Caenorhabditis elegans: one gene and its partner. The protein of the gene in region 2 interacts with the protein of the main gene of each other region in a pairwise test. Each region holds a gene or a part of one and is shown on either strand. Other genes may lie near its edges.

What was found. The genes of interacting proteins can lie anywhere in the genome.
Region 1: the proteins of phlp-2 (region 2) and brap-2 interact in a two-hybrid assay, tested with the Caenorhabditis elegans proteins (one study listed by BioGRID).

The regions. Positions count from the first base shown.
Region 1 is NC_003280.10:5,391,473-5,395,230, forward strand, and holds the start of brap-2 (BRCA1-associated protein homolog 2), read right to left. Parts: upstream 1,719-3,758; 5' UTR 1,715-1,718; coding exon 1,508-1,714; intron 1,459-1,507; coding exon 1,305-1,458; intron 1,258-1,304; coding exon 998-1,257; intron 951-997; coding exon 852-950; intron 790-851; coding exon 346-789; intron 1-345. Other genes in the region: pink-1 (Serine/threonine-protein kinase pink-1, mitochondrial), read right to left, coding at 1,995-2,715, 2,763-3,161, 3,209-3,438, 3,487-3,644, 3,689-3,758.
Region 2 is NC_003281.10:4,207,828-4,211,585, forward strand, and holds the start of phlp-2 (Protein phosphatase PHLPP-like protein), read left to right. Parts: upstream 1-1,660; 5' UTR 1,661-1,664; coding exon 1,665-1,873; intron 1,874-2,673; coding exon 2,674-2,981; intron 2,982-3,098; coding exon 3,099-3,164; intron 3,165-3,217; coding exon 3,218-3,450; intron 3,451-3,758. Other genes in the region: R74.8 (RING-type domain-containing protein), read left to right, coding at 1-11, 64-294.

The DNA of each region.
Region 1 (3,758 bases), on a different chromosome or scaffold from region 2:
CTAGGCAGAACAAAAGTATTTGTGTGATAATTAATTTGAAACGCATTTACAGACGCATATATATATATATATATATTTGTTTTCAAACAAAAACCAATAGAATTCAATGAGAAAACCCGAAAAATTGCATCCAAAAAAATTAATTGATTCATTGCCCGAGAGGAGTACACGGCCGAGAATTTTCAAAACTAATTAGTGCGCGAAATTCAAATTAGTTATACGAAAAGGTTGATTTTCGGCACTTTGAAGCCTCAAAACATTCTTTTTTTTTGTTTCCACCAGTTTTTTAACAAAAAATTATTGTTTTTAAATCAACAATTTTTTTTTGGTCCAGTATGAACATACCGCATTCGATTCTCTCTGATACTCGACAAGTTTCCCATCAGCTCCATTTTCAATCAATCTATGCACGTAATTGTCTCCAGCATAATCCCAGACTCGTTCTCCTCCAACTTTCAAACTATAAGTATGTGAAGTGAGCTCCCAATGTCGTTGTGCATGTTGTTCTGCGTATCTTCCACAACCTATATTTCCACAAATTAGACAAATCCATAGATCGTTGCTCATTCCACAATCATTACAACGTTGCTCTGCGACAACTTCTGGAGATTGAACATATCGACAGACTGGACAAGTATTGTCTGCCCATTGTTCCAGGCAACGAGCATGAAATGAATGATTACATAGAATTGCAAGAACACTATCATCCATTCGTTCCAGACAAACTGCACAAGTTGGAAGCTCCGTAAGAGATGTATCATCGGAGGAGAAGAGATCATTCGACGTTGTCTGAAATTTATAAATTGTTTCGAAATATCTGGAATTATTGAAATAAAATAATAATAACTTACACATTCAATTCTATCCACAAAGAAAAGCGTGCAACAATACGATTCGAGATCATTAAACGGGCAATTGTTGAATTCCTCGTAGAATGTTACAGCATCATTCTGAAATAAATATTTGCCAATTAATCGTTAGTATAACTTGAACCTACATGTTCCTTGAACTTGATAATCAACATATACTGATTTGGCGCTGGATCTCGAACAACTTTAATACTAACAATCATCGGAAGTGAGATACACATGAATGATATAATCTCACGAACTTCAACTTGTGCTGGTACAGCATACATACACAACATTCGGCACTGTGCAACTTTTGTCAACTTCTCATCATTGTACTTGTAAAAATGCATAATTCCTTCGGTCTTTTCCGTGAGAGGATTTCCAGAATAATAGGCAACTTGGTCAGCTGAAATTTTTAGATTTCATTTTCCATCTCACATGTTTCAAACTCACGTGGTCCTTCTGAAACAGATCTTCCACCAGATTTTTCCGATGTTCCGGCAACCGAAGAACTCGAGTCAACAAGTTTTTCTCCATCTAAAGATTCGATGACCACTTCAGAATAGGTCCGTCGTCCTTTGTGGTAGTTGTGTGATGGCTCGGATGACTGAAAATCAGATTAAGCTTTTAGTCTCAATAAAATTTGATCTATATACCATAACTCCAATTGGCGGATCTTCTTCTCTGCCTTTCAGTTCCTTTTTTGGAGGAGTATTTCCTTTTTTGACTAGTCTCTGACGAGTCCGTTCACCTGCCAGTGGGGATTCACTTCCTGCTTTCGAGTCGTCGATAAAAGATTGCACGATTTTTGTCCGGTCTCTCACTTCGAGCCGTAAAACTAATGGCACGTAAAGACTGCTCATACACCTAAAAGTTACAGTTAGAGGATCTGAGATCTGAAATAATAGGATGTAATGAAGTAGTATAAAATGGTTAAAAACCACCAGTATTTGAACAATAAAAAGTAATAAGGTATGATATTTTCCATAAATGAGGGAATGATAAACCGTAATTAGACAAAAGAACGCAATAGACTGGCATGAAAAGTGATTGTACAATTTGAAAAATACCAACAAGTAAAAAAAAAAGGTTATTACATATGTAATCTAGAGGTTTCAAACTACAGTAATCGTTAAAACAAATCTATTTAGATCGAACTCTATGTACAATTCCATTGATTCCATCCGCATCTGTACGGATAACATTTCTGAGAAGAAGTGGAACATTGTTGTATCCATTTTTAGCCGGTTTCTGTTGCTTCTCGTAATTTTCTGAATCATTTGAAAAACTCGACATCAAACTGGAAATAGTCTCCAAACAGTCTGATGATGTGGCAGGTGTGTCAAGTTGAACACCAGCTGGGAAGAAATATTGAAGACTTCTCCAAATATCTTCTCGATTCATTCTTGAAAGAAATGTTGCTCGAAGTTGTCGTTCTGCTCGACTAATCAAATGTGGAGCTAGGTTGGCCATGATAGTTTCAGCAGTAATCAGATTCATCACTTTGTCCAGACGACTATTGATTTTTTGACTCAAAACTTTAGAACTTCCAGCCAATAGAGTAGTCATTTGAGATATTCCACATTTTTCCATCATCTGCTTCACATCTTCTCCCATTCTGAACAATGACAAATTCAACGCATTTGCAGCAATATTCGGCTTGACTCTTTCATTAGGATCTCGCTTGAGTAGGTCAAAAATGACATCTCGTGCCACAAAATTGACACGAGATGGGAGTGCTGGTAGTTCTGATTCCTGGTATGTTGCAGTATCAAGAAGTTTGTAGAATGGATTTGATCGTGTTAGAACTTCATAAGAAAGGCCTCCAGCTGCCCATGTATCTGCCATTTCGAAGTTTACTTTTCTGTAAAAACTTTGATTATATACAGTACTCTAAACTTCAAAACATACACATTCTTTCCAGGAACAGCCGTCGCAATTTCTGGTGCTTTTGTCTTGGCATTTCCTCCAAGACTAACTTCATCTGATTCATAGTCTACTTGCCAATTGTCACATGCAAGTGCACATCCAAAATCGGCGACAACTAATTGGGGAATCTCGTCGTCAAAATCATATTCCAGAAGAATATTATCACTTTTCATGTCTCGCTGAGCAACTTTATGCTTATGAAGATATGTACATGCTTCTAATAGTTGAGCAATTATCACTCGTCCTGTCCAATAATTTCGATGACGAGTCCATACATATTCATGAAGTGTTTGTCGGTATCGTCTCATTACTACGTACATTGTTTTCGGTTCGGAGGCAATTGACTCATACCAACGTGCAGTGTGAAGGGCATCTGGATATCTGGAAAATCTTATTCTCAATCATTATCAATAAATTTCAAAGCTAACCGTTCAATCGCATCTGGCAAAACTTTTAACGAATCAATAAAAGCTGTCTGAATTCGAACAACATTTGGATGTTTTGCTGGAAGAGGTCTAAATGTTCCCATTTGTCCATTGAGCAACTTTGCAGCATTCGGATATGGAGCCAATTCATTTCCCATTGATTTCAAGAGATGAGCATCTCCATCGCGATCATGTTCAAAATTAAACATTAATTTGATTGCCAACGGGAATTTCTGCAATGATTTTTCAATATTAATCATCGAATTAAGATTATCAACTACCTTTTGTGCAACTTTGCTAACTGGCGGAATTTCTGCAAGTATATTTGTGACTTCATTAAACCCTGCACCATAGTGAGTATTCCCTGAGGATTCTGCATCAGAATTGGCTAATCTCGCAGAGTAAACTGCTGCATTGCATCCTTGACCGAGAAATTCCCCTGAAAACTCAAACAATGGAGAAATATCACTGAAAAAAGCATACCAAACTCATAAGAATCAATTCTATTCGGCCATTCAGTGCTTTTCAAATCCTCATTGTATCGTAGAGAATT
Region 2 (3,758 bases):
ACACCATAAAGGTTCGCAATTTGAATGAAGTGAGCTAAAGTATTTTAAATATTCTATTTCCAGCTCTACGACACCGACTATAAATTCCTCCATCGGATTTCGAGTGACTTCCCACTCCCATATATGTCATCATTCCATATTTCCAGTTCCGGTGAGGGAATAATTCTCGACGTGCACGCGCAGCAGAAGCTCCATTGGGTCAAGATGGAGTCGATCGAGAACATCACACCGTGGAAGGCTCCTCCATATCAGCCGAAGCAGAGCCGAGAGAACTACCAAAATCGCCGATTTTAAATCATGTGCAATACAGAAAATGTCATTAATTTTTACTTCCAAGAGTTGTATTTTTATATATTCTACTGTTCCCCCCTCTCACCCAGTTACGTGTTCCATTCCTTTTTTCGCATTTTCTCTTTTAAAATATGAAGTATCGTGGAGAAAACGAACCGCTTTCCGTTACAACAGCAAAAGCCATCAATCCCTCCTCTTTTCGATCCGCTCTTTGAACTCTTTTCTGTACAAATTGAATGACCTCGTCTATCGTCACGCAAGCCTCTCCCTACTCCTATTCTACCATTATTATTATCCAGAAGTGTACACACACACAGAGGGACGGTAGGCCAATTAACTGCATTGAAATGTCACACGAGTGGATTCTACTGGATGACTGACTGGGAGAGAGACAAATGACCAACCGGACACTTCTTCCACCTTCATCAAGTACTTATGGCTTCTGCTTCTCCGCTTTTTTTTTCGAAACTTTCAAGGGTTCTTGAGGATCTCGATAATCTTCATATAATTCCTCATTTGTTAAAATATTTTGTTTCATGTTCGGGTCTCACTGTTCTATCTCGGGTCTCGACGCGATATAAACTTATCAGTTACCGTACCCTCGCGTACGGTAAGCGCTCAATCTTTTTCATTTTCTCCTGATATAATAAACCTGTTTCTGCCCATTTTAAAGCATTTCATAGGTTCAAAATTAAAAATATCAAGAAATTGTTGGGAAAATTGGAAAAAAATCCAAGGGTACGGTAAAAAGTTTCCCTCGTTCCAAGACCAAAAAATAACAGGAGGAGATACTGATTTGTCCTAAATATCTTTATTTCAACGGAAAATAAAGAACTATTATTTCAAAAATCAAGAAATTCCTGGATAATACGAAAAAAAAGTTTTTCCAGGAAAAGCCGAATTTTTTATCGATAATAATATTTTAACTTTAAAAAATGTGACGAATCTCAGGCAAACGAAACCCAAGTGGACCCCGACATGACTGGTTTGGGTTTTTCGTGGAATCCGCTTGGGTTTTACATGGGATCCATTTGGGTATAGTGGGATCCATTTGGGTATAGTGGGATCCATTTGGGTGGTTCAGACACCCAAAGGGATCCCATGCAAAACCCAAGTAGATCCCACTCAAACCCCAAGTAGATCCCACTCAAACCCCAAGTAGATCCCACTCAAAACCCAAGCGGATCCCACTCAAAACCCAAACCAGTCATGTCGTGCACGCTCAGGTATTTTTTGGGATCAGGATGGGTTTCGTTTGCCTGATAGTGAGATTGCATATAATTAAAACTCAACTCAATGCATCACCTTTAACGCGCAATTTCCTACAGTACTCGGAGTCTAATCTACTAACTTTTCCAATTTTATAGCTCCGAATGAACAACGAGCAACTACAATCCACGTCATCATCCCCATCAACTCTACTAAAACCAATTGAGAAAAAGTCGAGATTTCTGAGACTTTACTCATCAGATGGACAACGTAGTACACGTATAGAATGTGATGAGCACACAACTTGTGCTCAAATATGTCAACAATTTTCATGTGATGTGATTACTCTTCAAATTGGTAATTACCATTTTCGGTGAGTCATTTCCTCGTAATTGTAAAAAATGAGGATTTTTTCCGAAAGTAAGCTAATAAATTATTCCTTTCACAGTTAAATGGACCGCCCGTCAAGTTTAATTGAAATGAAATTACGGCCAACTGGAACTGGGTGAACACTCTTAGAATGACACGAGACATTATTGCATTAGGGTTTTTATAGTAGGCAGGTTCGGCGAGCGTGCCTGCCTACGTACCGACGTACCTGCGTGCGCCTACCGGCCTACAAATTCACAAATTTCTAGTTTTATCTTGTCAACGAATTTGTTGAAAATTCATCAAAGAAATTAAAAACTGGCAGGCGTATGCTTAGATGAAGCTCGTAGGCAGGCAGGCATTTTTTGGCAAAAACCGAAAATTCAAACGTTTTCCACTTTTTTCTGTAATTTTAAATTGAAGGTTTTTATGTCAAAATAAATAAAATAAAATGCTTTTAGAAAACAAATTTTGACATAAAAATCGTTAAAACAGCAGAAAGATTTTAAAAAAACCAGAACGAAAAAATGTTTGAAAAAGGTAAAATCTGCAAAAAAAAAACTGAAAAAGTGTACAATTGAAAAAGATCTACAATTTTGCCGCTAATACCTAATGAGACCCAAATTATATTGGGAATTCGACGTTAGAGCGCGCTTTTACTTTAACTGGAAAATTGTACTTGGCCATCAATTAAGGCGCATCGGTGTCGGTGTTTGCACAGTTTTGGAAACAGTGAGGTTCACCGAACTGATACGTCGCAAATTACACAAGAAAAATCATAAACTTATTCTAACCATCTCACAGGCAGCTAAAATCCGACACCTCTCCACTTGCGATTCTTCAAGATTTCTGCCGAATTCTAACAATGTCCGATGAGAATCTGGAGACTGAAAGCACATCGAAAGCCTTGGAAGATATTTTATCATACACTGATTCGCCGGCATTCCGCCATATTTTTAGCTTTTTTCTGGGCCGGCCAAGAATTCGTGCGAAGAGTACATTGAATTTGGATATTCTAAGTGAAGAAGTTGTGATACGAAAAGGAAAGCTAATTCACACGTGGCAAAATGCGCGAGCCGTATTTTACAATTCAAATATTCGATTGCAAACCAGTGAGTTATTGAAGGGCACCGACCAATCAGCGAGAAGCGGGGGCGTGGCCAACGTCGTTGATTGGTCAGAGCCTAGCTTGCGAGAGTTTGAAATGAAAACGCAGACACTTTTTTCAGAAAACAACCAAGATGAGGCTCTTCAAATTCGAAATATGAAAGTAGATGTACATGAGTCCAAAAGAGGTTTGACCAAAGATCTAGCCGTTAACTACCCAATGAATTCCACCAATTTTCAGGAAGAGCTCTTCGACTAAAAGATGATGATGTGTGTTATCTTATAATCTTTCAAAGACCGAATATTCTAGAAGCATGGCTTACACGGGCTCAACAAGTGGAGAAGAGTAACCACGTGGATGCAAGTGACGAGCAATTGACATTAATACCTGAACAGATTTTGAATAATGAAGCGAGAGTTCAAATTTTGAATTTAAGAAGAAACTCGCTGATTTCTAGGCCACCAACTGAAAAGGTACAAAAGGTTACTCTTCCAAACTTTACTTTCAAACGTGGTTTATCTAGAAATCAATGAATTTACTGGATACAAGAATTTATAGTTTTTAAACAGTAAATGCATTAATCTAGGCTGGAACAAATAAATACAAATGAATTAGGTTAATAGGTTCAAAACCATGAATTTCTGCCAAAAATTGCAAAGTAAAAAGCATACTTCTCCTCGAGAAGTACACGAGCTGCGTAAATCGAAACATAGCTGTCTGGCCTAAAATAAGTGGTATTTTGTAGCCAGTGCGAAGTTCCAAAAAACCATATCCAAAGCGG